4 linked regions of the Rhinolophus ferrumequinum genome follow. The main gene of each other region encodes a partner of the protein of the gene in region 4 in a complex. Links are inferred from orthologs where the notes say so. Each region holds a gene or a part of one and is shown on either strand. Other genes may lie near its edges. The genes, in order: CCNT1, EAF2, EAF1 and CDK9.

What was found.
Region 1: the proteins of CDK9 (region 4) and CCNT1 are in contact, whole or in part, in a crystal structure (PDB 3BLH), measured with the Homo sapiens proteins. The link is inferred for Rhinolophus ferrumequinum from reciprocal best matches to the Homo sapiens genes CDK9 and CCNT1. Residues at the interface, in NP_001252.1 of Homo sapiens: Val8, Glu9, Cys10, Pro11, Phe12, Cys13, Lys56, Glu57, Gly58, Phe59, Ile61, Leu64, Ile67, Lys68, Gln71, Leu72, Leu81, Ile82, Glu83, Ile84, Arg86, Ile99; in NP_001231.2 of Homo sapiens: Arg5, Lys6, Arg11, Trp12, Arg26, Ile72, Gln73, Phe78, Phe89, Leu90, Lys93, Val94, Pro98, Lys99, Lys100, Leu101, Val134, Glu137, Ile139, Leu141, Gln142, Thr143, Gly145, Phe146, Glu147, Leu148, Thr149.
Region 2: CDK9 (region 4) and EAF2 share a complex: the UniProt entries of both Homo sapiens proteins name them as parts of the super elongation complex. The link is inferred for Rhinolophus ferrumequinum from reciprocal best matches to the Homo sapiens genes CDK9 and EAF2.
Region 3: CDK9 (region 4) and EAF1 share a complex: the UniProt entries of both Homo sapiens proteins name them as parts of the super elongation complex. The link is inferred for Rhinolophus ferrumequinum from reciprocal best matches to the Homo sapiens genes CDK9 and EAF1.

What each region holds. Positions count from the first base shown.
Region 1 is NC_046293.1:49,873,163-49,880,305, forward strand, and holds the start of CCNT1 (cyclin-T1), read right to left. Parts: upstream 3,004-7,143; 5' UTR 2,794-3,003; coding exon 2,639-2,793; intron 694-2,638; exon of another isoform or gene 610-693; intron 441-609; exon of another isoform or gene 1-440. UniProt on the Homo sapiens protein: Regulatory subunit of the cyclin-dependent kinase pair (CDK9/cyclin-T1) complex, also called positive transcription elongation factor B (P-TEFb), which facilitates the transition from abortive to productive elongation by phosphorylating the CTD (C-terminal domain) of the large subunit of RNA polymerase II (RNA Pol II).
Region 2 is NC_046285.1:46,766,018-46,773,357, reverse strand, and holds the start of EAF2 (ELL-associated factor 2), read right to left. Parts: upstream 3,015-7,340; 5' UTR 2,939-3,014; coding exon 2,842-2,938; intron 1-2,841. UniProt on the Homo sapiens protein: Acts as a transcriptional transactivator of TCEA1 elongation activity. Acts as a transcriptional transactivator of ELL and ELL2 elongation activities. Potent inducer of apoptosis in prostatic and non-prostatic cell lines.
Region 3 is NC_046300.1:31,205,270-31,212,977, reverse strand, and holds the start of EAF1 (ELL-associated factor 1), read left to right. Parts: upstream 1-4,697; 5' UTR 4,698-4,712; coding exon 4,713-5,076; intron 5,077-6,994; coding exon 6,995-7,089; intron 7,090-7,708. Other genes in the region: tRNA N(3)-methylcytidine methyltransferase METTL6, read right to left, coding at 2,578-2,712, 3,428-3,652. UniProt on the Homo sapiens protein: Acts as a transcriptional transactivator of ELL and ELL2 elongation activities.
Region 4 is NC_046295.1:76,825,717-76,833,205, reverse strand, and holds the start of CDK9 (cyclin-dependent kinase 9), read right to left. Parts: upstream 3,020-7,489; 5' UTR 3,018-3,019; coding exon 2,578-3,017; intron 2,124-2,577; coding exon 2,042-2,123; intron 1,277-2,041; coding exon 1,186-1,276; intron 839-1,185; coding exon 672-838; intron 562-671; coding exon 390-561; intron 232-389; coding exon 83-231; intron 1-82. Other genes in the region: SH2D3C (SH2 domain-containing protein 3C), read left to right, coding at 3,746-3,792. UniProt on the Homo sapiens protein: Protein kinase involved in the regulation of transcription.

The sequences.
Region 1 (7,143 bases), on a different chromosome or scaffold from region 4:
GAATTTCCTACAAAGGGAAAAGATATCTAACATGTCATGTCATTGACAACTGTACGCTGGTTTCAGACGAATGTCGAAAAAAGTTACCGCAACTCAAGGAAAAATATTACGCTATTGAAATTGATCTGTTCTTACCATAGAAGAGTAGTACCCTTATATGGTAGAATGGTACATTAAATCACATGGTTTGCTTGTCAAACAGGTTTTACCAAACCCTGAAGAAGTTATGGCAGAATCTGATGCTATGCTCAAGAATGATATGAGAATTTCTCTGATAAGCTCCAACACAGTATCCCTGTGTTCATTACTTTTGGCTGGTATCAGTGATGCACTAGATTATCTGTCAAGCTGATGTTTACTATCCAAATGTCTAAGTAGCGTCCAACTTTGTGGATTTTGATGACAATGGGTTGCCCAAAGGATTTACAGAACTAATTCATGTATTTAGCAAACATGATGGTACCTTGAAGAACACAGAACATTCCAGTCAACTAAAAGACAACAGTAACATAATTCTGCTTGGGAGACTCCCAAGGAGACTTAAGAATGGCAAACTTGAACACATTCTGAAAATTGGGTATTTAAATGGCAGAGCGGATGACCTTTTAGAAAATTAGATGGACTCACGACATTATTCTAGTAAAAGATGCATCACTGGAGGTGGCCAACTCTAACTTACAGAAGATTCTGTAAACAGGTCTTCACGACCTGTCCTCTGGGGTGCAACTGATGCAAGAGTTGCTCATCTGTTCACCTTGGTGAAAAACTTTTATTTATAATGTTCTTGCTCTTGAAGTTTTTCCTGTACATTACTGAAGTATTTTCAGACATGTTGAATCCATGAACTTCTTGCTCCTTTTTCTCCACCTCTCTAAACACACCATATTTTTTATCACTAAAAAAAGAATCTTAAAGTCAAAAATTGAAAACAACTTCCTACGTTTCCAGAGTGTATTCTGTAGTTTAATGTTATCATTAAGTTTTTGAGGAGTCTTTTTATACTAGGAAAGTTTGTTGAAGTTTAAAAATAATGTTTATGAAATGGTGAAATAATGTGCATGATTTTAAGTATTGCTATTATTGTAATTTGGGTGAATTATGCTGATGGTATCACCATCTACTGAAATTGTATTACGTTGGTTATTTTGTTTTGGGAAAATTGATAGTTACCAGAAAAATACTGACACTTGGTGTTTGAAAAAACTGTTGGTAACCACGTCATTAATCATTATAAAATATTCTCTATTCCAGCACTGATAATAAACATGAAATGAAGAACAAAAACAAAAAATGCTCGGAGGGGGAAGAATCACCAAATTATGAGGTGTGATCAAAAGATACAGCGAATGTTTAAATTAAAAAAATGTACTACAGTAAAAGACACATTGCCATGAATCCCCCTCAAAACACTCCCCCTCACTTTGAACACACTTATCCCATTGTTCTTGCCACTTTCTGAAGCAGTTCTGGAAGTCCTCTTTCGTGGGTGTCTTTATTTCATCCTCCATTATGACAATGCTCCATGTCACACATCACTTATGGTATGGCAATTTCTGTCAAATAAAAACATTATGGTGTGTCTTCATCCATCTTATTCACTGAATCTGGCACCGTGTGACTTCTGGCTCTTCCCCAAAGTCAAAATGACCATGAAAAAAAACAAAAAACATTTTAAATCGACTCAGGACATCGAGGCAGCCACGACAGTGCAACTACAGACACTCAGGAAAGAGGACTTTCAGAACTGTAAATGGCAAGAACGATGGGATAAGTGTCCAAAGCGAGGGAGAGTATTTTGAGGGCGATTAATGGCAATGTGTCTTTTACTGTAATACATTTTTTTTAAACATTCACCATATTTTTTTATCACACCTCCTACCTCACCTTTGAAATGAGAAAAACGAATACATTAGCATTCTGAGTATTTTAAAAACCCAGTATTTTGCAACAGTTTTTCAAACCAGTAGATCTGTAGGCCTACATCCCTAAAATCTAAACTGACATTCCTCCTTCCTCTGAAAGTCTGTAAACCTCTAACAGTAGCTACTACTTGAACTTGAGTGCCAAGCAGTGTGTTGGGCATAGAAATTAAACTCAAGAGGTATCACTTAAAGATGAGAAAACCAAGAATTCGACAGGTTTCTTAAACAGTAAGTGGGAAGAACGGATTTTGAACCAAAGCTGGACATTAATTCTAGGCCACCCTTCGTAAGACCTTCAGATACTGAATTTCTCAAAACTCTTTGCACACGCTAAGTTCAAGAGGCAACTATCAACGATGAAACCTCCAGCAGACACCTAGGGCATCAGAGAAAAGCAGAATTTCAAAGTCACCAGCACAGGAGATCAGAGCACACTGAAAACGGTCTAAGAAGGGCCAGTTAAAACACAAAGCCTGGAAGGATACGAATTCCCGGAAAGGCTGGTGGCCCCGGTGAGCGAGCGGGAAATTAACTCCGCCTCGCCACCCTCGCGCGGACACTGTGAACTTCAGCCCGCCCCATCGTAGGCTCTCTCACCTAGACATCTAGCCCCTGCCCCCCCTCTTCCCCCTACCATCCTTAACAGAACCTGAGTCCTGGAGGCGAGGGCAAAGCGGGACTGACTCCAAAGCCAAAGGCCTAGGCCGCAAGGATACACGTAAAGACGTTGCCCCATGTCCTGAAGCAGATTGGCCGCCTGCTGACGATAAGAAAGCTCTTTATCTGCGTCTAGACCAAAACGACGGGATGGGCTATTTTCCAGCTGTTCTCGAGTAAAATACCACCGTTTGTTCTTCCTCTCTTCCTCCATAGTGCTTCAACCAGAAAGCAGCGGCGGAGGCTGCAAGCACTTTCCAGCGTCACTTAAGCGGCGACACACATCCGCTGTGCGGCGGCAACTGCGCCGTGACGAACTTCCGCTAAAGGTGGACGGCTAGGTTGTGACATGCTTCCGCCGAGGGGTATAGTTGAAGGGTCTACTTCCGGAAGGAACCTCGCGACAGCTTGTAGTCGAGTAAACAGCCAGTCAGCGACCAGGAAAGACCTTGGGTCGAGGACGCAGGCGCCAGTCATGTGACCCTTGGGAGGCAGGGTGAGGTTGGAAGTTCTCGTTCAAAACCACGTCTCCTCTCGCGTGAACTGGGTTGAGCGTTCGCGCCTTGGGTTAGTGGGTGAGGCAATGTTGGTGGCGGCTTGAGGCGCCCGCCCACGCGCCGCGCCGCGGCTCCTCCGAGAATTTCGTTTTTGGCGGAGGGGGCGATCTAAAATGGGGCAGCGGAGAACTTGACAGGAGAAAATAGGTGAGACTCAAAAACTGAAAAAAGTAATCAAAGAGAGGGGCCCTATCGTGTAGCGTAATGTAAAGCAACTAGAAGGCTCTCACATTGTTGGTAGTCAGGTAAATGACGCATATGAAAAGCCGGTATGTAGCTAAAGCCTGGAGAGCATTTTTGGCTTCGCCACAGTGGTCCAATGAAGGAATAAAATGAAATGAATAGTATTAACTTAGTGCTTACCGTGTTCCAGGCGCAATACTGGCTCTTAAACATACGATCGCATTTAATCGGCGCAACCTCAAGAGGTAGTAATGTTTTAATCCCTGTTTGCGAACGGGTGAGCTAAAACCGCTCCTTCGGTGTGGAAAGCTTGCACACCACGCTGCACCATCATGCACACGCACAATTTTGTAAGTTCCTGTCCTCTGTCAGGATGTAGCGCAGTCCCAACGCTTGATGGCTGTGTGATCCTGCGCAAGACTTCTCTGTGCCTCTTGTACAATGTAAATGATAATAGTACCTATGTCTTAGATTGTGGGAAGGATTTTAAATGATTTGAGTTAAAAGTATATCATAGTAACTTGCACATAGAAAACATTTAGTAGATGTTATAGTAGTTACTACATTATATTAATGTTGAGAACAAGGACAGTGCCTCCTTCATTTTTGTATCCTTGGCACCTGCCTAGTACAGGCCTGGCCCTACTAATTAATAAATGTGAAATGCTCAAAATACCCTACAATAAAGAAATTGAGGCTCAGAGAAATTAAGTAGTTTGCCCTACATGCACAGCTTATAAGTGTAGATTTTAAAAACAAGTCTAATTTTATTCTTTCTAGTCCAGCAAACTATATTCTTTTCTGGAACACTCAATTTACCTTGATTAAATATGGGTCATAGAATCATTTGTTTTTTTATAATACGTTGAGTGTCATCATTTCTAGATATGGGTGCCTCCACACAGTAAGTTTGATTATAATTCATTCTCAGAAGCATTTCCTTCCATTTCAGGCCCTCCTCTGCCATATACTGCCTACAGATAGCCTAAGCTCCATTTTAGTCTAGAAAAATTGAGATTCAGGAAGGTGTAAATTACTCACATCAAGTTATAACATTAAAAAAAAGTATGACTTCAAACTTCTTCCATCAGACTTTTTTCTTTTAATAAACATTTTTTACAGTTATGTAGTCATGTGTGTTATCTTTTAAAAGCCAAAATTATTTCTCCTAGATCCGCTCTTGCCTGTCTCCCTGACCTGTGTTTGGTTCTCCACGTAATCTCTTGGATTGATAACTGCATTTTGAATTTGCTATCCAAGCTCAGTCTGCCAGTCTTCCAAGAAAAAGTTGTCGCGTCTGTAAGGCTTCAGGCACTGCATCTGCAAACCATTGGCTTGTTACCCTGCCATACAGAAGAGGAGGACCTGTGTAAATCAGAGAAAGGAAAGGTTCTTTGAAGATGAAATTATTTGAAAGTAGTGATAACAGCAGTGATAAAATAATTGCTAAACATGAGTTTTTGAGTCAGGGCTGGATTCAAATCCCATCTATTTTTCTTTAACCATCTTAACCATTTATAAGTGTACAATTCAGTAGTATCAACTATATTCACAGTATTATGCAACAGGTCTTTACAACTTTTTCATTTTACAAAACAAACTGTGTGCCCACTGAACAAGTCCCCATTTCCCCCTCCCCCAGCCCTGACAACCCCATTCCACTTTCTGTTCCCACAAGTTAGACTACTTTAGATACTTCATATAAGTGGAATCATGCAGTATTTGTCTTTCTTTGACCAGCTTATTTCACTTAGTATAATATCCTCAAAATTCCCAGATATTCTTTTTTTTTTTTTATAATTTCATAAACAGGTTACAGTATTTTTTTTTTTTTATTAGTTTCAGGTGCGCTCCCAGATATTCTTTTAACTAGCTGTGTGACCTTAAATGTCATGTCTGCGTCCTGACAGAACACCCATCTGGCACATAGTAGGTGTTCAGTACATGTTTATTGTCAATGCTAACCTTCTGGCACATTGCCTTAAGGAACAGTTGACAAAACCTTAAACCAGAGGAATTTTTTTGTTGTTAGTTTATATAGGACTCCATTTTCTGTAAATCACACCTATAAAGCTATTCTTCCTATTCCCTAGACTAATCTAATACAAGGTTATACTATATTTCATGGTTTGATCTTATTTTGTGTGTCATATTTCAGTCATGTTAAACGTTACCATTTACTACTGTTAAAACAATTTCTCCCTACATTCCTATAGTCTCCAAATTAAAATACGAAAAAAGATGGTGTGCTATTCCTAACTATCCCCAACTCCACATTCAGTGATGTCATGTTGATATCTTGAAATTGACCATGGTGTGTGTGTTTTTGCCAAACTCAAATCAAGAACCAACCTATGATTGCATTTGACAAACGAGTATAGCTTTGACTGTTGGTTGACATTTTCTTTTGCATTAATAAGATGAAAGTAAAACAATGAGACTTATATTGGAACTTATTTAAGAGTGACTTGAGCAACATCTTTGCTGAATTGGATAATAGTTTTTGAACACTGGAAGAATATTTCAATCTTTTGTGCCATTGATAATGTAATGGCTACACACCATACACTTTTAAGCTTAATCTACATAATTAACTTCTCTATCACTTCCTTAATTCTAGACAATCAATAAAACAAGTCAAGCCTTTGTCTATAGCATTTGCCAGTTTCTATAGTACTATCTCCCAAACCAATTTCAAGCTACCAATGCGACTGTCACTGATCATGAAATTGAGAAGAGATGAACACACCATCACATACTATTTCCTCCATACAGATACAATTGACAGGGACTTCTGGTTTCCAGTTTGACATGTAAACAGGTTGGAAGTCATCACTCCTGTTCTCACAACCAAGGGAAAAAAAGCTGAACAAACTGAAAATCAACAACCCTTCCTAGATTCATCAGAGAATTGAGGTGACAGGGCAAACTGCTACCACAAAAACCGGAGCAACAGGCAGAACAGAATCATGGCTTACTGGGGAGCAAAAAATACTGGAACCAGCCCTTGATAGGGATACTTAAAGGGCAATAAACTAATCGCTAGAAACTGAAATTGGACTAGACTGAGAGATTAAAAACACTTCTGGGGACCTAGACTTAAGAGGTCCCCCACATTTTTGTGAGTTTTACCTGCAGGAGCACCACAGGTCTTACTATAAAGATTAAAGAAAAATCTCAACCTTCTGGCAGGTAAAGGGGAAAGGTAGCCATTGTAAAATAAACCCAGAGCATTCAGTTCTCAACAAAGGCCTGCCCTCAAGGAAAACTAAAAGCCTAACCAGTGTGAGAAAAAAACAACCAACTCCAGCTGCGAACTTTGTTTAACCTAAGGGGGGAAAAAAGACAAATATTTGTGAAGGTCACACAGTCCAGGGAAACAAGCTCACTGAAAGACACAGACCTAATAGGATTGCAGAACACTTTCCCCCATTTTACCATCACATCAGTAGGCCTATGTAATAATGGGATTACATCTGAAAGAACTGCAAGCTCAGAGTATTTAAGAAGGAATTTCTAGAGAAACCCAAAGATAAGGACATCAGAGGAAATTTTAGTCTCTGACACCTACAGCTATAGCAAACTAGAAACAGCCTAACTCCCAGCCAGATAAAGATAAACCTCAGTTGCTTTTACCTAGTATATCATGTCTGACTTTCTAAAAAAAATTTACAAAGCATGCTAAAAGGCAAAAAATACAGTCTAAAGAAACAAAGCAAGCATCAGAACCAGACTCACATGTGGCAGAAGTTTTAGAATTATCAAACTGGGAATTTAAAATAACTGATATGCTAAGGACTCTAATGGGAAAAGTACACAACATG
Region 2 (7,340 bases), on a different chromosome or scaffold from region 4:
TATTTTCTAACACCAAAGCTTAACAACCGTTTTTTGGGGGGAGTGGCTGCACTTGATGCCTCAGACCATCTCCGTATAGTTAATGCCCATGAACTCATCATTTTGTGACAGCAAAAAGTGGTATCATTTACAAAATTTAGAAATTTCAATGTTTATTCCCTTATCTGGATATAAATTGTAAAACTAGTACTAGCCCAAATCCAAAATTTATTCGGTGAGTCCTGTTACTCAAACTCTTCTACCCAGTGAAACATCTGCTGCAAAGCATTTAGCTTATCATTTACAGAACATCCCATGTCTTCCTTACCACATGCAGATTATTTTTTTGATAGGTTTTATTGCTAAGGCCTGATAAATGCTTTTGAAAGTCTTAGTAAATTACATTAATTGGCATTCCTAATAGACACATGAATAAACCTTCAAGAATAATGGTTCCTACTATTTATTTTCTGCCATGCACCAAATAATGTGCTAGGTTGTTTATGCTACTTTATTTAATCCTTAAAAGACCCTGAAATTTAGATATTAATATTATCATTTTACATATTAAAAAACCCGAGGCTGAGGGCTTAGAGAATGTTCCCAAAGTTACATTACATGTATAGTAGAGGCCAGAACTCACAAGTTTTTCCAAAGCCTCAGCATATTGGACTGGTATAATTACCCCTGTACATAAAGACAGAATGTTCCTTTCTCCCAGATTACACTGACGTTTATGCACCTGCTCTGTATCAAAGTCAGATCTCCCATTCTATAGTTTCTTTCCCTCACTGCATCCTTAAGAGTGAGGATATGAGAAATGAACCTATTATCAAGAATAATGGCTGGTTTTGTTTAAATAAATCTAAAAAGAGTTTGCCTGCTTCAACAAGAATAAAACTAAGGGCTGAAAACTGTTCTAATGTCTTCCACAGGACTAAGAGTATATTCAAAGATCTGGGTTTATTGTGGTTGTTATTGTTTTATTTTTGTTTATTTTCATTCTTGTAGATGGATCATCTGATTCTGAAGACACAATTCCTGCATTTTGAGAACTTTTATAAATGAAAAGCTCTAAAGCACCTGCAAAGTGCTTTTCAAAGGCTCCTTTTATTCACTTAATTTGGGGTTCATGGCCTTAAAGAGAGTATATACCCAAGTTACATAAAAACATATTTTGAGCAAATTTTTATAATCTTAAACCTTGTAATTTGAAAAATTAAGACTACTGCATACCTGATTAAAAAAAAAAAAAGAAAGAGGAGAGGAGATAATATTTGAGAGAAAGGCAGGGAGAAACCAGCTAAGAACTATAATACACTTTTATAAAATGGGACTGAAGAAGGAAAGAAACTGCATAGCCAGCACTAGGTATCTCACTATGGGGAGCTTTGGACAACAGAGTAGAGAGAAAAAGAATAATCAAGGGTCACTGTTTAAGATCTTCTGCTTGCAAATATCTCCTCCATTTATTCTATCAATTGGATATTAATTTTGCTTAATAAATCCCTTTATAAAATGTAAATACAGAGGGTGCCAAAAAATGTATACACATTTTAAGAAAGGAAAACTATTAAAATTGTAATACTTTATACTGATAACAAAAGATGAATACAAGTCACGTGTGACTTCTGCAATTACAAGAGGTGCTCAAAGTGGTTACCATCACCATCCAGTCACTTCTGATTATGGCGAAGTTCTGCTTGAGCAACGTTGAACAACTTGTCCACTTGTATAAATTTTTTTGGAACCTCTGGGACATCCTTGGAATGTTAGAAATCTATTGGTTCTTCATACCTTTACTGTGAGTTACTATAATTAGATTGTCTAGAACTTAAGTAAACTTTTGGGGGTTGTAAGTTTCAGTTGACGCATGGAATACTTCAGGATAAAACAATAAAGACCTGTATACGGTCTGAGGACAGAATAACTGTAAGAAAAGTGGAATGATGAGACACTAAGGAAGGGCAGAACTGGTGAAAGAAAGTGAAAAAATACTTACTTTACTAATTTTGCCATAGAAAAAATAGGTTATGATTCAATGATCTCAAAGTTTCCTTTCCACTCTATAATTTTATGAGGGCTATCATGCAAAGAATGAATGTTTTACATACCAAATCATAATATGCTATACTTTTCCTTCCTGTAGTGTATACCATCCAACCATTAAAGCAAAAGACCTCCCTTTTCTACCTCAACAACATAAAAGTGCATAATTTATCAAAACTCATTCCAGAGGACGACCAAAAGGAAATCAAAGGGAGAAATCATAGGGAGGTAAATATCTTTCCAATAAGGAAATCAATAACACACCCTCCAATACTTTGATAATCAATATTTGCTAATTTACTGAGTGAAATCAGGGGTCCAAAAGAGATACAGATTATTGAAATAGTTTAGAATCTCTCCCTAGGAACGCGCTAAGTAAGAACCCTCATTAGCCAGACACAGAAAAAGTGAAGGAGACACTATTTCCCCATCAGCCTCAAGGCATTTCCTTTCCCCTGCATAACGGCTCCGTCCTTTGCTCCCTTCCATTTGGCACCTTACTATTTTCCTTTCCACCTCTGCATCATCCATCAGTTACTACTGTCTTCAGTCACCCTTGGAGATCTCCACAAAGTTTCCCTTTCTTCCTGCTGGTTTCACTTATATCTCTCTGTCAGGGTTTTACCCACACCTGCTCAACTCCGGCTTTTTCCATCGACCCCCTAGGACTCCAGGTCCGGTAGTGGATCGCGCTGGGGACCCTATTCTCCCGCAGAATAAGGTGGGTCGATGGGAATACAACTCGGAGACTTTTGTGCCTCCACACACCCACACCCAGAGCTCCCCCTTTTCCACCGGGATGTCCACACTCACAGCGCACAGTGTGGAAGGCGCAGCGCGGTTGCTTCTCAAAACTGGCGCCTAACTTGAGAACCCGCTCGCGACTGTCGATATGCCAGGGTCCATTCATGGTTATCCTTCGGCTCCGATTTCGCCTCCGACTCTTCCTCCGTCAACTAGCGCTCCCTACCTTCTGCCACCTCAGCCTAAACCAGCTGCATTAGCAGCAGCGGGCGGAGCTACGACAGACTCCGCCCCGCCGCCCAACGCGCGCTCCCCCACCGGGCGCCTCTCGCGTGCTGATTGGCTGGCTGGAGAAGGACGCCCCGCCCCTTGGCTCCGAGCTCGTGGTCCCGCCTCCACGCCCCTTCCCGCGTTGCGACGCTGGCCGCGGGGAGAACGCCGCGCAACTGAGGTGCGTGGTGGGAGAAGGGTTCCTTGGTGGAGGAACGCTGTGCGAGAATGAGGTAACGGACCTGAGGTGGTGGCTGGGGACTGAGACGGCCTCGAGGTACCAAGAGGCCGGGATCCCGCACCTCTGGGCCAAGTGACCTGGAATGTAGGAGCTCTTACCGGGAGAATCGGCCTACTTCACGCTTTCTGTGGAGATCTAGTGTGGAAACTGAGGCCGGGGGAGGAGCGGATTCTGGGTCCAAGGCCTGGTAGCGCCAAAGCTGGGCCTAGAATCCGGAGTACAGGAGCCCCGCGGCCTCAGAGCCTGGGTCTTTGGACCTGCCTGGAAGGTGACGCCGTTACCTAGGCAATCGTTTTCAGACCTGTTCTAGGGGAAGTTCCAGGTACTATTAGGACCGACAAGGTCAGGGCACGTGGAGGGTGGGGCAAAAAAGATTAGAAGTTACGAACTTCACATGTTTAGGATCAGTTGCAACTAGATTGCATTGTGTTGTCTTATTTCTTTCTTTCACAGTGATCCGTGGAAGCAGTAACTACACGGCCAGAAGACCAGATTCCCAAAGTATCAAGGCCGGAGCTCGTGCTCTGGAAAACAGGGTAATAGTATTAGTAATTGAAAAATAATTGTATTTTTTTCCTGTCAAAAATTCATGAGTTTAATGGTAAAGATGAGAGAAGTGTTGTATCAGAGGACAGTCACTCTAAAGGAAGTTTACAAATGGTTACCATAACGGGTGGTTGTTTTTCAGCATAATTATGTAATCAAACTCTTCTCCCTTACTGAACTTCTACTTTAGCCAAACTTACCAATTTATTCCAGGCAGGTAGATGAATGTGTCTCCCGTAACCTGCTTGTTCAAATTCGACCCTTTTAAGGCGTACTAAGGGTGTTTCATGGGGCAGTTAAGCGCTCAGATTCTGGAGCAAGAATCTTTGGGTTTGAACTCCCGCTTCATATTTTATAGTATGACATTGTGCAAACCAAAGTTAAGTATGCTCATCAGTTGTAATTGGAAGGGAAATAATAATAGTACTTACACCTTAGAGTCGTTGAATTAAATGAGTTAATACATAAAAGCATTTAAAACAATTCATGGCATATAATAAAAGCTCTCCAAATGGTTATTATTCTTGAGTTTTAACTCTACTGTCATGCAACATTTTAGGACCATCCTTGGTGCCTGCCTTTTATTCTAAATCTTGAATTATTCTATTATCTAGGAAGTAGGAATTGCTTTTTTGTTTACTTTACAGATGAGAAAACTGGTTCAAGGAAGCCCAATCCTCTGACTCTATGGTCTGTAGTCTTAACTTCTGTGTCATCTATTTGGCCTAACATATTTTGTATAATTAAGTATTTTATTTTACATATACATATTTGTGTGTGTGTATACTTTTCCTTCCCAACCAGACCATTAACAGGGAGTGTGTCCTATATAAAATCTTTGTGACCATTGCATCTACCATAGTGCTCCACACATGTTTGGTGATGATAATAATGTTTCAGTGATGTTTTATTGTGGTACCCAGAAGGCAAGGACAATGTTTTAAGCCTATTTTACCTAAACAAGGCTTCCTACCAGAAATCTGTGGTTTACATTTTATAACAAGAAGAAGAGCAGAAGGTCAAGAAATTGAGTTTAGGAATACCCAAAGTTTGTACATTTATTCATTTTTTTCAACATATATTTATTAAGTACCTACCTACCGTATGCAGGCACTAGTCTAGCCTATGGGGATATAGCAGTGAACCAGAGAGAAGAAGGCAGCCATCAAGGGTAGTCTGAGTTTCGCCTTCATGAAGCTTACCTTTTAGTGTGAACTTTTTCAAACATGTATTAAAATGTGTACTAGCCTAGGAATAAGCAAATAGATTAATGAACTAAATAGAATCCAAAAATATACCCAGGTGGCACTTCAGATTGCTTCTGTTATATCTATTCATCATTAATTACCTCAGGAATTTATGACAGCTATGTGCATTTGTTCTTTTTTCACTAATCTATAACCTCATCTAACTTAAAAATTTTAGATTCCTATCTTACACCATTCACAAAAATATCTTACAAGTGTATTGAAGACATAAATAAAGATATAAGTTAAATAAGATATAAATAAAACAGAACCATAAAACACTAGGAAAAATTAGGAGAATAAATTTTAGCTCTTGAGGTAAGTAGGACCTTTCTAAGCATGACACCAATGGCAGAAGCCATAGAGGGGAAGATTGTTATACTTGCCTACATAAAAATTGTAAAACTATGGTGTAGGCACCATAATCAAACTTTGAAAAATAAATGGCAGACAAGAAGAAAGTGGCTTACAGTCAATATAAAAGATAAAGTGTTCTTAAAGCTTCTGCAAAAGAATAAGACAAGTCAATAGAAAAGTAGTTGAGGGATACAAACAGAAGATACATAAAAGAAGAAATAGCAGTGGATATGAAATGTGCCTAACCTTCCTAATAAATGAATACAGATTTAAAAAGATAATACCATTTTTCATCTAGCAAATTGGCAAAAATATAAAAGATAATGATGTATTAGTAAAGGTATAGTAAGTGAGCACCCTTGTACATTATCGGTGGAAGTATAAATCGGGACACCCATTTTGAAGAAAAATTTGGGATCATATCAAAATTTAAAAAATATGTATCTTGCAACCCAGCCATCCACCTTTCAGGAAAATTGATCCTACAGAGTACTAGCATGTGTGCATAAGGACATTTTACATTGCTGTTCGTTGCATCATTGTTTATCATAGCATACACTCTGAATAACTTACAATAGAGAGGATGTTTACATATACAGTAGTCTCCCCTTATCGATGGGGGATGTATTCCAAGACCCTCCATGTATGCCTGCAACCATAGATAGTGCTGAACCCTAAATAGGTATACTATATTTTTTCCTATACATACATACCTATGATAAAGTTTAATGTATAAATTAAGTACAATAAGAGATTAACAATAACTAATAATAAAATAGAACAATTATAACAATGTATTGTAATGTTATATGAATGTGGTCTCTCAAAACATTTTACTGTACTGTACTCATCTTTTCACTTAAAGGAAGCACTTTACAGCTTCTCTTGGACATATCTCAATTGGCCAACATCACCACTCTTGTGCTTTGGGGCCATTATTAAGTAAAATAAAGGTTACTTGAACACAAGCACTGCAGTACCATGCCGGTCAATCTAATCACTGAATAGGCTACTAGTAAGTGACTGACGGGCAGGAAGCATGGAGACTCTGGACAAAAGGGATGATTACATCCAGAGCAAGAGGGAGAGGGACAGTATAAGAATTCATTATGCTACTCAGAATGGTGTTGCAACTTAAAAATTATGAATTGTTTATTTCTGGAATTTTCTATTTAATATTTTTGGAACATGGTTGACTGTGGGTAACTGAAACCATGGAAGGTGAAACTGCGGATAAGGAAGGGGGGACTACTGTGTTTTGACGTACTCTTACAAAGGAAGCATTGCATAATGCAGCCATCGGAAAGAATAAAATACCTCTGTAGCTACACCTTTGGAAAGTTTTATCTCTGCTGTGTGCCAGGATGTGCTGGGATTTCTTTAAAATATTTCCAGATTTTTTTTTTTTAATGATTTGTATTTTACCTAATAAGGGATGCTTTTTGGATGTCTTTTATTATGGCCAACTTTTCAATATAAAGGATGGGAAGTTACGAAGAATAATAGTTAAAAAAGTGAGTTAGAAGTAGGTAATTTTGGAATATGTTTTGTGGTTTTTATGTTTTACATGGGAAGGAATATTAGGAACATTGTAATTAAAACCACAGACTTTGGAGTTAGACTGATCTGGATTTGAATGCTGACTCTACCACATCATGGTGGAACCATGTCCAGTTTAAATTCTTCAAGCTTGATTTTTCTCATCTGTAAAATGGAGATGATTACAGGCTCTACCTTGTAGTCCTGTTGTGAAGATTAAATATGGTAATGCTTATAAAAGTACTTAGCACAGTGCTTAGTTCATAGTAAACACTTAATATATGTTAGCTTTTGTTAATTATTACTAAGTAAAGAGTATACTTTTTTAAAAATATGATATCTTTGATCTTTGAATACCTTAAAACTTT
Region 3 (7,708 bases), on a different chromosome or scaffold from region 4:
CCTGGGGGCTGAAGTCACAGGGATGCTCCCAACCTTTTGCAGGGGTTTCCACCAGAAATATCACCAGGCTGTCACAGAAAGGATGGTGTTCTTTCTGGTGCTGGACTTTGTCTTCTACTTCAAGGGAAAAAAGGTTTAACGTGCAGGGGAAAGGTCATTTGAGGCCTGTAGCCTTAGGGTACTGGTGGAATACCACTGCCACAAGCGAAGGGAACTACTCTGCCCCGACCTAGTCTTAACCTATCTGCAGGAAGAATGGCCTCAAGACCACAGAGGAGGACACTGGTGGATATCTCCCTAAAGCCGGGGGAGGGATGGGACAGAAAAGCACTATTCCTGGAGAGGCAGAGATACTTGTGAAGTCCACACCCCCGAGACACAGGCGGACTATGCAGTTCAAAACCCGATAATCAGAACATTAGAGAACAATCCCTTCTCCCATACTCTCCCACAAGTCTCCAGTGATAATAGTGGCCTGCAGCTGGAGAAGCTGCCAAGAGATAGACTCTTTATGGGGAAGAGCCCAAGGGGAAGATCCAAAGCTAAGGGGAGAGACAAAAACAGTCACCAGAGGAGACTGAAGTCTGTGGTACCCATAGCAGCAATAAACCTCACAGCTAACTATAGCAACAACAGACCTCAAACACAGCCCGACTATCTAGATTACAAATCCTTATTACCTCAGTATCAACTGCCCTATATAACATATCTAGCTCTCAACAACAACAAAAAAAAACCACGGCATACCAAAATACAATAAAAAAAGTCTGAAGGGAAAAAGCAATCATCACAACCAGACTCAAATATGACACAAACGATGGAATTTAAAAAGTTTGGGCATTTAAAATAACTGATTAATATGTTAAAGGCTCAAATAAAAAAGGTGGACTACATGCTAGATCAGATAGGTAATTTCAGCACAGAAAGAGAGACTACAAAAAGAATCAACTGGAAATGCTAAAAAATCAAAAACATAGTAACGGAAATGAAGAATGCTTTGACAGGCTCATTAATAGGAATGCCTATTGCCTATGAAGGAATCAATGAACTTGGTGACAGGGCAACAGAAATTATACAAACTGAAAATACAAAGAGAAAAGAAGTTTAAAAAAACAAAAAAGCAAAACAACATCCAAGAGTTGTGGTACAATAGCAAATGGTATAACATACATGTAATTGGAATCCTAGGGGAAGAGAGAATAGAGCTGAAGAAATATGTGAAAAAATAATGACAAAAATTTTTCCAAATTAATAAATATAAAAAGAATATGTGATTATATAACTCCTAAACAAGACATAAAACCTTAGCACCTCAAAAGGAACAGACTAATAAATTCAAATTTGATAATTTAAATCCTATCATAGAACAATATCATAAAACAATGTTGAATAAACTATACTTAATCCCAGTGCTTACAACACTCATTGGCACACATTAGGCTCCCAATAAATATATGTGGAATAAAGGAACTCACAAGCAGAAAAAAACCCAAACTAATGCTTATTTACATATTATAAAGACTTCAACTTCACTGGTTATAAGAAATAAACAAATTAAAATATGGAGACATTTTATTTTGCCCATAAGATTGGGAGAAATAAAGACTGACATCAAATGTTGAGGGCATAGAGAAAAAGTTATCTTTATGTTATTGGTGAAATTATAAATTGGTATAATATTCTGGAAGGAAACTGGGCATTATCTATTAAAATTTAAATATGTATACTCTTTCTCCGAGGAATTCTATTTCTTCCATTATTCACCATAGAGACACGTGTACACATGTTTTGTAGAGCACGTGCACAATGGTGATTACGTTAACCTTACTTATAAGAGCAGAAAGTTAGAAACAATTTAAATAAATATCAACAGGGTAATTGTTAAAATATGATATATCCATTCTACGGAATACTGCAGCAGGTAAATAAAATGTAGTAGACCTATATATACAAAGAGGAAACACTGCAAGACATAATGTAGAGTGAGAAAAGTTAAGTTACAGTACAATGTGACTGCACTATTAAAAAGTCTAACGGATGCCAAAAATGTGAAGGGCTGATGGAAAACTAGATATCTGCATGCTGCCAATAAAGGGTAAGTAGATCTTGATTAAATACAGCTATAAAAGATACCTGGGACTATTTGGGGAAATCTGAATTGAGTACTAATGGCATTAGGGGATTACAATTAGTTTTGTTAGATGTAAGTATTTTGTGGTCAGTTAGAGAAAACCCTTATTGAAGACGTATGCAGGCATATTTAGCAGTGAAGTGTCTGTAATTTACTTTAAAATGGTTCAGGAAAGAAAAAAGTCTATAAAACAAATGTGGAAAAATACTGGAAATCATTAAATCTGGGTATAAGTATATAGTGTCATTATGGTATTTCTACTTTTCTGAATAAAGCTGTTTCTATAATGTGTTATATATGTATGTAAACAGGAAAACTATAACATGTTTATGGTGATCACAGCTGCTTAGCTTCAGGGAGAGGTCTGGAATTGGACAAATGGGTATAGAGGGCAGGTCAAACAAGTCCAACAAAACAATCATAAAATACCAGGATGGTGCACCAACCTTGACATATTCAACTGCTCTTGGAGAAAAATCACAGGCATAAGCAAAGATATTCAGATCTTCTTCTAAAAGCGGGAATAGACAGTTCCCAACCCCACAGCCAGCTTCAAGCATAGTCAATTTCTGACCTTCAAACTGAGAAAAGAGAACTCAAAGTTAGAGGACACTATATTTGCATAATGAAGAAACAAATCAAATTAAAAGGTCCAGAACATGAAAGGTCTCTGCCTCCTGGAGCAGACAATAAACAAGTAAACTGATATCCAAAAGCTAATACAGATATCTCAATTTGTCATCCAACATGGGGCAATTTGGTGTGGAGAAAACAGGATAATGGCTAAGAGAACAGGCTCAGGGGTTAAACTGCTTGCATTCAATCCAGACTCCTTCCTTCACCCGTGTTCTATCATTGGACAAATCACTTAAATAACCTTTCCCTCAATTTTATCAATAAGGGGATAATACTAATGCCTACTTCACAGTTCTATTATAAGGCTTAAATTACAAAACACATGAAAAGTTCTAGAAAAGGGTCATGGTAAAGTGTTTATCATCATCATCATTAATGAATCTGAATCTGTCACTGAAGTCACTTTGTATAAATTTAATATTTACAACTTTCAGATTAGCTTTAAAGAAACAGAAATGCCCATTCAAGTTCTTTCTCCTACGTATTATACAACCCAGGAACTGCTAAAACTACTTGAGACCAAACAGAGTATTTCTAAGGTACAAAGCATTCTGACAGGCTTCATAAATTCTCTACCTCACACTTCCATAAAAATGCAAGAAAGCACTTCTCTTCTACATATTTTAAACGAAGAACAGCTCAAATAAGGTGTAACATTACCTCCCTACATGATCTGAGCTCCTGAAACTCTCGGGTGGTCCAGTGTCTATCTTTGAAGAAATTCGTACTATTTCTTTTGTAAAAAAGGTCCCAGTTCTTCTGAGCCTCTTTTTCCAGTTTTTGCTGTTTAAAGTCAGACACTAAAACTTGGTCTCTTTTCAGTTTCTCCTCTTCTTCAGAGCTGAGAATCCTTGCCTGAAGCCCTTCCCTTTGCAAAGATGCCATCTCTTGGGGAAATGGTAATGGAGTTAACACTGCTGAAGATGCTCCATCCCTGAATAATTTGAGGAATCCAAGCTGAATCTGCAGCTGCAGGCGGGGTTTTCTTAGATGTGGTTCCTCAGGCTGGGTTCAAGCCTCCGGGAGCATTTCTGCTTCGCAGGAAAAAGAATGAGATTTTGGTTAGTAATTTTAGAGCAGTTCTTTAAGATACTGAGTTAGTGGTTCTACAACATTCCTTTCACCCAAAAGTTCAATATACCAAACGTTTACTAGTGCTGACTCTACACAAAACCCTGCCCATTATAGGAGAGGTCACAAAGAAGAGCAAGACAAAGCGCCTACCTTCAGAGGACTTACGTTCATTGGCCCTGGACTCGCCTGCACCGAACACTAATTCAAACCAGACTAAGTCATCTATTATAATAAATCGGTTTAGTTTAGAAAAAGGATACTGCCAAGAACTCGTTGGGAAACCCTGGAGGGAAAATACTCATTAATTTTCGGTGCGCCTCTGAAAAGGGTGACTCTACAACCGCAACAGGTGCCTGAACTGGAGGAGGGTGGTTAACTGCCAGACAGAAGTGGGGGTCATGGTTTCCCAAGGATCGGAGACGCAGTTTTTTTCGGGGAAGATGGAACTACTACGTTCGGGTGGCCTGAATCTCTGATCGCACTCACAAGAAACTGCCTCAAACCAGCGGGGGAGTCGCTTTCCAGGCCTTCGCACCGCCATCACGGCGCGAAGGGAAGGAAGAGACTGCGTGACGCGCGGTGTAGGGTCATCTGTCTCGGGACACTCGGGATAAACCAGGCCGACCCGGCCGCCAGGGCCTGAGGAGAGCTGGCCAGGCCAGCTATCAGACGCGCGTTAATCTAGTCAGCGGCGCTCTGGGCGCACTGTCATCAGCTCCTAGACTCAACTGGAGGGGTACTTAGTGTCAGGCGCATTCAGCCCTCCGCCAGGCCCCTACCTCGGAAGCAGAATTTGGGAGCCGCCGCGCCAAACCCGCGTCTGAACTAACCAGCGCTGAGCAGCTCAGACTCCCGGCGGAATTCTATTGCTATGGCACCGCCCCCGCCACTTCCGCTACGAACCCAGAAGTCCCTCCCCGACGCCGGAAGTCCCGAGGCCTTGCTTCCTCAGGGGCTTCCCCCACCCCGACGCGGAGACTTGCTTCCGGCCCTGGGTGGGCGCCGGCGGCATTCCCGGTGCGCTCCGGAGCGGTGTCACGGGAGCACCGTACTCCCGGACGCCGGTGCCGGAAGCTCAGATCGCGGCCGTACTTGGGTAGCGCCGGGCCGGGCGCGAGGCCCGTGTGGGGCCATGAACGGGACCGTAAACCCGCTGCTGGACCGCGAGGAACACTGCCTGCGGCTGGGGGAGAGCTTCGAGAAGCGACCGCGAGCCTCCTTCCACACCATTCGCTGTAAGTCAGCGCTCTCCACGTGTCCCTTCGGCTTCCCCAGCCTCCCGGTGCCAACCTCGGATCCCTCCTCTCTTCCCTCGGCCCTCCACTGTACAGAGAAGCCCCTGCCTACGTCAGCTCCCTTCTCTCCTACCCCGGGTCCTCCAGGACCTCGATTTTCCCCTTTTGATCCTCCAGGACCTCGATGTCCCCCCTTTGGCCCCCAGCTTACTCTTCCCAAACCAGACCCTTCGTCACTGTCAACTATTCTTGTGTCTCAAGGTCCCAAACACTTGTTCCGAAGTCCATTGGCCCTTCTCTCTTTTCATGCCCCCACCCACCCTTCCTGCCAAACCCTCTTTGTTACCGAAAGAGTGTGACCCCACATCGGACTCCAGTGCTCCCTCGAATCCATCCCCCGCCCCTTCTGATGCCCCCACCCAGGTTCTCCACGTTTAAAGGACTCTTCCTGTTTGCTCGGGAGCCTCATCCTCTCCCTTCTATTCCATTCTCTTCTTCCCTGTTTTTCCTCAGCTTCCTTTCCTCGTCCGTCTTTACTCGGGGCACCCCGACAGGCTGCGCTTCATCCCCTCTTGCAGCCAAAGAATCCACATCCTCTCTGCGCCCCATCAGAGCGTTCCTCTTACAGCTTCCTGCACCTCGTTTGACTTTTGATGTCTTTTGAGGTCACTTCTACGACCCTGACTTTAACTCAGGCCCTGGTCCCTTGTGGATGAAGAATAAAATTAGCATTTGTGAGCCTGGAATAAGTTAAAGCTTGATCTATGTCTGGAGGCCGAAGAGAGTAGACACACAGACTATCGCAATCGCCATGAATGCTGGACCTTCCTTTTTCTACGGGATTATAGACTGTTGAGGAAGGAAGGGCACGTCTACTCTGTCCCGGGGGAAGATTGGCTTTTATGAGCTGACGGAGCATCCGTGATTCACAACTCCTGGTTTCCTGTCTCGGTAGTGCTAACGCTGGTTAAGACTTGTTTTTGTCAAAGGAGCTAATAGATGTGACTCAACACATTGCAAGAGGGCGTTAGATAATGATGTTCCATCTTTGTGTGGTGGCTCTGCCTTGCCATTACGATGATTCCTACTGGAAACATCAGCTCTCTTAGAGGGAAGATACTGGGAATGTGATAAGAGCTTCATTTCCTGAGCAGTTTACTAAGTTGATGTTTTAGCAAAGTGAAGGGCAATGTAGAATTTAAATGAGACACTTCACATATGCATCTGGCCTGCGTTTTGAGGCAGGTGTGTGTTACAATGGATGGAGTAAGATGGCCATTCATGTTGTACTTGAACTGCAATTCAGAAACATGGGCAGGACTAACCTGTGGAGACAGTTCAACCATCTACTCTGAACATCTGCAGGAGTATCTTTGTGTGGCACATCCTAATTTTGACAGTTCCTATGCAAAATGACATCAGCTTATATGATGCTGTGGCATTTCATGTAGAGTTTTACAATCACAGAATCTTATTAATATGCTGTTGCTTTTGAGCCTCACAACAACCCTAACAAAACACTTTATTGTGGATAATAAGCATTCATTTTCATCTGTCACTGGGGAGAAGGGAATATCTTTGTTTAATAAAGTGGTATGTAAATTCTAGATTTTTTTTCCCTTCAAAATAATCCAGTTGGGGGTTGGGAGGAAAAGTATATCAGGGTATAGATGAAACAAGATTGTCCCTGAGTTGGTAATTATTAAAGCTGGGTGATGATGGTACACCGAGTTTCGTTGTAATGTCTCTGCTTTTGTGAAGTTTTCCACAGTAAAATAGGTTTTTTTTAATATTCTAAATTATTTGTACTTTCTATTTATCTGAGTAATAAAAAAAAATATTTCTTAAATGAGCACACCCAGAAAGTCCTTAGTATAAGTAACCTGGTGGATAAATGCTATTTTTCCTTTCCCTTTAGATGATTTTAAGCCAGCATCTATAGATACTTCCTGTGAAGGAGAGCTTCAGGTTGGCAAAGGAGATGAAGTCACAATTACGCTGCCACATATCCCTGTGAGTTTATTCCATTGTTGTTGTCTTTTTAAATGTAGAATCACTGTGAATCCTCATATTTCATGTTATTACAATTTGAATTTCCTACTGTTTAAAACTTTCTAAAGTGCCAACAGAAGGAAAAAGGAGATTTGGGGTATAGCCTGGAGTGGAATTCATGCTTCCCAGGTGCTTGATTAAATATTATTCTTGTTGCCATTTTCCCCACACTCCCTTTCCCCCCATTTGCTACAAAGTAGACAAGGATCCTACCTGGGCACCTAGCCCCTCTTTTAGACATAGAGAAAAGCCCTAGGTGCCATGCTGATATATAGCAATGACAATTTAGGAGAGTGGGGCTGCCAAACCAAGAGTTAAGTTAAGGCGGGTAGGAGTAGGATTTACTTATTTCATATATCTGGCAGAGGGTGAAGTGTAGGCCGATCATTTCAGGCACGAACCAGAGGTTCAGAGCATTCAGCTAGTTGAACAATGCAGAACTTAGTTAAAAGCTGAACTGAGAACCTTTGCAGAGAGAGGCTTTTGTAAAGCCTTGCCCAAGGCAGCACTCTGATCACAAAGCCCGAAGGATTAGACAGAATTCTCTTAGCGAACATGTGTCATTCATTGCATGTCACAA
Region 4 (7,489 bases):
TGTTCCACTGCCCACTCCTCCCCTGCCAGGGAGACTTCTGCATCCTGCAGGGCCCAGAGGCCCAGGCAGCCTGGCCACCCACCTCAGGGGTGATGGAGCCACAGAGCTGGCTGATGAGGGCGAGCTGATGCTGCTCCGTGTTGCCCTGCATGATAGGGCTGCGGGTCCACATCTCCGCCATGATGCACCCAGCACCCCACAGGTCAATGGGGGGGCCGTAGTCCCGCTCCCCTGGGAAGAAGAGTGCACCAGGAGTGCCCCTTGAGCCCGAGGGCCTCCTGAGACGCAATGCCCGGGGGCCGGCGGCTCAAGAAGCCCTGGCAGTGGGGGGCTGAGGCCAGGTTAAGTGCCTAGCCCCTGCCCCCTTCTGCCCACTCGGGAGTCCTCACCGAGCAACAGCTCTGGGGGCCGGTACCAGAGCGTCACCACACGGTTAGTATAGCGGTTAGGCTGACTGTTCTTGGCGAGACTGAAGGCCCGGGCCAGTCCAAAGTCTGCCAGTTTCAGGACCCCGTCTCGGGTGATGAGCACGTTAGCTGCCTTCATGTCCCTGTGCAGGATCTGCAAGAAGGGCAAAGGTGAGGGCTCAGTCAGGTTCCCAAGGGTCCTTTAGCCCCGCCACCCAGCGGTGGGAGTACAGGCAGACCAAGCCTCGGTCTCTCCTCCCCCACCTTGTTCCTGTGGATGTAGTAGAGGCCATTGAGCAACATCTGCATGACCCTCTTGATCTCAGACAGTGTGAACTTGACTAAGACGTTGCTCAGCAGCCCAGCAAGGTCATGCTCGCAGAAGTCAAACACCAGGTATATACTGCCTTTGCAGCGGTTATAGGGGGAAGCTGAGGTGGGAAGAATGGGGAAGGAGCAAGAAGAAGAAAATAAAAAATCCCATATACCACTCATTTTCCCACAACCAGCTCCTACCCCCCTCCAACCCACTGACACCCAGAATCCATCTGTGGGTTCCTTCACTGGTAAAGTATTTCCCGAGTGAGTCCTCTGGGCCAGGTGCTGTGGCGGACCCTGGGAAAGCACCAGCTACGATGAAAGGACCAGAGAAAGCAGTCACAGTTGGTAGGTATGCCTGGGTTAAAAGTGTGTCCAGTTCCAACTTTGCAAACAAAGCCTTAAGTTCTAAGCCTCATTTTCTCCATTTGAAAATGGGAACAAGATTCAAACAACTTACCTTTGGTTCGACAGATCTCAATCAAGTTGACCACATTCTCATGTTTTAGAAGCTGCAGGATCTTGATTTCCCGCAGGGCGGTAATGGGGAACTGGGTGGAATAAAGAAAGGAGGTCAAAAGTGAAAGCGCACTGCAGATCAAGGAACTGGCCATGGGGTCTATACTAACGGGAACAGGTTGGGAAGACACAGTAAGATCACAGGCTCTGAAATCAGCTATCTCAGATGCCTTATCTGTAAAATGGGTGTAAAGTAGTATGCACTCCTCAAGAAGATGCTTTCAGACAATGAATTGAAATAGTGATACTTAACCACTTCATTATTGGTCACTAAACGCTCCCTAATTTCTTCAACCTTTAAATTTTAGCTCTGTGCCTGTGTTTAACTTGCTGGGTAGTAACACAAATGACCATTCAAGTTCCTTGCTAACAAGCACATCTCTGAAAGCTGGACTAGAGCTAAGATGTGGTGGGAGAGGGACTCCTTTTCAGTTGAGTACTAGTCACCCTTTTAAAGCCATTGCATGTATTTTCCTTTTGCACTGAACAAAATTAAATTCTAAGGGAAGTGTTTTAACAAAGGCTTTCCAACTTCACAAGCCCAAGTGCATTCAGTGCAAGCATGAGCTCCCCCTCCTGGCCCCAACCTTGTATTTGCCTAAGAATGAAATACCAAATGCTTTAAAATATTTGAACTGAAAGATTTAATTTGGAAGTCAAATTTCCTGGGCTATGGAAATTCTCGAGCTACTACACATAAACTAAATTTCAACACGTGAGTCCTAGAAGCAGCAGGATGGAAACCCACATGCCCCGGGGAGATGGCTGGCCAGCTAGCCCACCCGACCCATACTCACCCCCTCCTTCTCGTTCTCCATCAGTACCTTCTTCAGAGCCACTTTTTGGCCGGTCAAGCGGTGCTTTGCCTTAAACACCTCCCTGCAGGCCGAAAGGGGGACCCAAAAAGATTCATCAGGCCGTTTTCACATGGCTCGCCCCTCCCCCTCCAGAGGAGGAGGGCAGAAAAGAGACTCCCGTGTAGGGCTGAGCCTGGTACCTAGGGCAGTGGGCTACCCTACTATCTGCGGTCCCTCTCCCAACCTCTACTTCCTCCCCAGTCTCTTCTCCTCAGCCTGACGTCTCTCGGAGAGATCCTGCTCCCCTCACAAGCTCCTCTGCAATTCCTGCCCGTTCCCCACCATGGGCCTCAGGCTCCTCCCCGCCAGCCAGCTCCATCAGGCCCCGGCGGACTGCAGTGCGGCCTAGCGAGACCAGGGAATAACTCTAGGGCCAAGTGGCTCCCCGACCACCTCTGGCCCAGCCCCGGGCGTCCCGACGTCGGCCCTGAGGGGTGCAGGCCCAGGGCACCGGGTCCCTCGGGGCCCATCCTTACCCAAAGGTGCCTTGGCCGATCTTAGCGAGCTTCTCATATTTGGTCACCTCATCACAAAAGGGGCACTCCACCGAGTCGTACTGCTTTGCCATGGCCGCCTCTAGCGCGCCGCCGCCACCCCCAGCCGCCGCCGCCGCCGCTGCTCCCGCTCCGGGTCCCGCCGCCGTGCTCCAGGCCCCTCCGCGGCCGCGCCACTTCCGCCTCCACGGCCACTTCCGGCCTCGAGGCGCCGACCCCGCCTCTTCCGCCCGCCGCCCGCCGCCAGGCCCCCTGGGACTTGTAGTTCCCGGGAGGCCAGGAGGAACCGGAGCTGCAGAGGCGCCTCCGCCGCCACCGCTGCCCCCACCTCCGCCGCCGCCACTGCTGGCGGCGGCCCCGATTGGGGGCGCGGGGAGCCGGGGCGCCGGGGCTGGGGCTCGGGGCGGTGCGTCCCGCTGCATTGGCCCGGGCCGCCGCTGCTGCCGAAGCCGCTGCCGCTCTGGCGCCCGATCCCGGGCCAGCCGCAGTGCCCTGCTCCTCCTCCTCCGACGGCGCCGCCTCCGCCGGGCTGCGCGGGGTGGCGGGCGGGGGGACGGCCCCCAAGCCGCGGCCTGGGGGGCTCCCTGGCCGGGCCCGGGCCCGGGGCGGCCGGGCGAGGGGGCGAGACGGGAAGAGCCGACGAGGAGGCGGCCCGAGAGCCCGGGAGGGGGCGCGTTATAAAGGGGGAGGTGCCCGGGCCTCGCCCTCCCCTCCCCCTCCGCCCGCCCCCTCCCTCCGCCCTCCCGTCCTCCGCGGCCGCACCTGCCGCCGCCGCTGCCGCCGCCTCCCGCCGGCTGTCCGCCGGCCGCCCTCGGCGCGTCACAGCCCGCGGCCCCTCCTACGCCTTCGGAGGTGGGGCCCCGCACTCGACACCTGGCTGAGGGGCGCCTCGCCGTGTGCCTCAGTTTACCGCCACATGCCAGCTGCCGCGGGGAGCGCCTATTCCCCCCCCCTCACTGGCGGGAGGCAGCGAGGGAGCGGCCTAAGGTCCGGGAGGAGAGAACGGCCCCCGCCACCGCCTCCCGGGGCCCCAGCCACCCGCCGTTGACATGGTAACCGACGGCCACCAGGGGGCGCGGCAACACTGGAGGCGGCGAATAAGCAATGCCCGGGCCTTCTAGCGCTGGACCCTGTTCTCTGGGAGGCAGGGATGAAACCTAGAGGACCCCCGCCCCAGCCGAGCTGCGCGAGCCTTGGGTCAGTAATCACAAAAATAGCATTTACTCAGTACCTCTGTGTACTCAGGAAGTACTGGGCGTTTCCTCTGAATCCTGAATCAACAGCGTCATAGTAAGGATCACTAACCCATTTTACAGAAAAGGACATTGAGGCTCAGAGAAGTGAGGTCATTTGCCCAAGGTCACACAATGACAAAGCTGGGACTCGAACCTGGTCTGCCTGAAGGGGATTCTCCTGACTCAGGCTGTCCTGGCCAGGACTACAGCAGTGGTGCTGTTTGAGGCCTGCTGTCCTTACGCCAGGCACCAAGCCTGCCATTCACCCAGTGTCTCCCTCCCTGGCCGTATTCCCCCTTCCCCTGCCTCAGCCCTTCTCCAGCATCTTTCTGATATCTTCCTGGCTCCAGGGGGCCTCCCGATTCTTCCTCCAGCTCCACTCAACAACCAACCCCCAGAAAAGCTGTCTTTTACCTCCTCTGTACCCCTTCGATCTGCCCCTCTCCATTCCATTGCCCATGGATCTTGAGTCCTGGCCTCCCCAGTCCGGCTTCTCCATCTGTCTCCCTCACAGTACCCACCAGAGCATTCTGAAATAGAGTCTGCAGGTATTTCCCTCCACTCCCTTAAAGAAAAAAAATTGTGACATTTGAGGTTCTTTCCAGCTCGCCTCCTAGGCCACACGAATCTCCTGTGTTTCCTAACTCCCCAGGCCTTCCTGTCTTTAGGGCTGTGCTTCCTGATTGCACCCCAGAACCTCTCTATCTGCATGAAACTCTCCAGCTCTTACTCCACATGCTTAGCCTTGTAGCCTCCTTGTAGGAGGAGGCAGGAGTGGGTCTGCTGATTATGGTGTCCCAAGAGGCCCTGTTCTGGACAAGGGCTCTGCCAGGGAGGGCCTTGTGGGTCCGGTGAGGAGCAGGGAGCCCTCCCTCTCCTGAGGGCAGTGTGGAGCCGGCGAGGAGGGTTTTAGGTAGTCGAGTGACATACCAGGGAGTGATCTGGGATCAGCTTCATGGGTACACTTAGAAGCAGGGAGGCCATTGGCTAAAGTGGGAGTGCTGAGGGCAAGGAGGGAGAAAATAATTGTGATAATTACAATTTATTGAAGGAAAATAAATGGTCCAAGCCGTACACTTAGCACTTTATGGGTATTATCTCAAGTCTCACTCAGCCATATAAGTTGAGTACTATTATCACCTCCATTATACACATAAGGACACTGAAACTCAGAGGTGACATCACCTGGCCAGGGTAAAACAGCTGGCCAATGGCCACACTGGCATTTTGAGCCAGGCCAGTCTGGCACAAAGCCCCAGCACGTACCCATGTCAGGACCCCACCTACCTGGACGGGGGGTGGAGCACAGGCATGGCACAGCACCACTGGATGAGTGCCCTGGATGCTGATGGGAGCTGGAGGAGGGGATATCAGCATTGGGGTCTATCATGGGTTTGTGTGGGTGCCACCATCAGTCTCTCAGACCGGGGCCCCTGCCCACTTCCCATGAATACTCCCTAAGTCACATCCTGTGGGCAGAAGCCTCAGCAGAAGTTCCGGTGGTGTCATCACCTCCACCCTACTGTCTTTGACCTGTACCCCAACATTTCACCAGTCACTTCACTTCCCCTCTGCGCCTTGTGTCTCCAGCCTTCCCTGGGGAAAGAGGGCAGGCAGGAGTGGTCAGAAAGCTGCCCAGGCTGCCCAGGTGGAAGGGAGAAGAAATGAAGCGCGAGCCAGAAACAATTTCTCACTGACTTGGATTTCTGATTCGCTCTTTTGAGGGAAATGCTTCCTGCTTCCCTGGATTGGCTAAGCTAGCCAGGCCGGACGTGTGGCCAGTACTCAATAAATGTTTGCTGACTGACTACAAGGCTGTGAGAGAGCCTGTGGTCCTGCTGCCATTTAACAGTCAGGGAAACTGAGGCACAGGATGGGAAAAGGAGCCACTGGCCTGGACCCTCTTATTTTCTCCCCCAAGCAGGGACAGGGTGGAGAGGGTATGGAGGGATGAGGAAGATGGGCCCATGGGGTGGGTGCTCTTGGCTGCTGGTAAGTCTGAGGAGACAAGGGATCCCTGAATGGGGGGTACAGAGAATGGCTGTGTGATACCTAGAGCCCTGTAACACCATGGACATTCTGTCCCCACTAGACGGGTACTGACTCTGCCAGGACCTGTATTGATATGTTGTCCCCCTAGAACTTTACAGCACCCCTATTAGGAGGTTGCTAGTATCAGGCCCAAGTTACAGAAAAAGAAACTGAGGCTCAGAGTGTGCCCAAGGCCACACAGCCAGGAAGCTATGGAGCTGGAATTCAAAGCCAGGTCCCTCTGCTCTCAAAGGCTGGGGTCATTTATCACTATCCTACACTGCCCCCAATACCAGACAAGTGGGCAAGCTGGGGAGAGGCATCAACTGAGTCCCACAGTACAGCAGGCGTGGGGCCAACGTGGATGCGTAAGGCTGCTTCCTCTCAGAGCACAAGGTCTGTTTGGAAGATGCAAAGAAAGACACAGGAGAACGTAATAGGGATGATACTCTCATATAAATGTTTTATTTCATTGCCACAGGATCGTGTGAAGATGTGGTATTTGTCCCATTTTACTGATGGGGAAAATGAAGCTCAGAGAGCTGATGTGACTTGCCCAAGATCATGCAGGTGGGGTCTGAACTCAGGTTTGCCTGAGTCTTTGACGACGAAGTTGAAGGCTTCCAGTCCCTAATAGGTGCCTGGCCCAACTGCAGGCAACTGAGTTTAGACTGGGGAAGAGGGCAAGGAGAGGGGACAGAAATCACAGCAGGGTTCCTGGGGGCACTGTAGCTGAATCTAGACTTGAGGGACTCAACGGAGGCAAAAGATGGAGCCGGTGGAAGGAAGAGCTGCGCTCCAGGTATGGGTCCAGCCCAAGCAAAGGCCTGATGGCAGGAGAGCACTTGTGTGTTCAGTGCTGCGGAGCCAAGCGTGGGCAAGGCTGGGCTGGACTCCAGCACAGGCTGAGGAGGGCCTGTGGGACAGCCAACCGCCAGCAGGTCCCCCAGCCGCACTCCTAACGGCCACTTGAGGCAGCACAATGGGGGCTCTGAGCTGGGCAGAGCCTCCACACTGAGCCCCATTCATTCTCCCAGGGATGTGGCAATTGCCCTGGTACCCGGGCCAATGGCAGGGCCCCCAGCGCTGACAAGGCACCTCCATCACACAATATAGTCTCGTTGTGGCCGGTATTCCCGGGGCTCACGCCGTGTGCCTGATGCTGGGGTTTCCTGGCCTGAACCACCCCTATTCTTCCGCAACAACTGCCAGGGCTTGCTGAGGCCAGAGTGTACATAGGCTCCTTTCATATTCCTCCGGAAGTGGGGGCTACTGTGACCCATTTCACAGATAAGGAAACAGACCCAGAGCAGTAAAGTCTCTTATGAAGGATCACATAGTAAGTCGGGAGTGAGCCTGGCCAGGAAGTCGGTGCTGGCTGATGCCACAGCCTCAGCAGTTGGGCCAAGTCCCTGGGACTGCCTCCTGGGAGAGAAGCCAGGGACCCACTAGGAAGACCCGCAGCTACCACCAGGCCGCAGGCCCCTTTCCCTCTTCCAACAACAACCTGGAGATGAGAGGGGCACCAGCCTGGGAGCTAGGACACCTGGGTGTCTGTCTAGTCTCTGTTCCTCTGTAGCCTCAGTTTCCTCATCTGTGAAATGGGACAATAGCAGGATTTGCTTCAC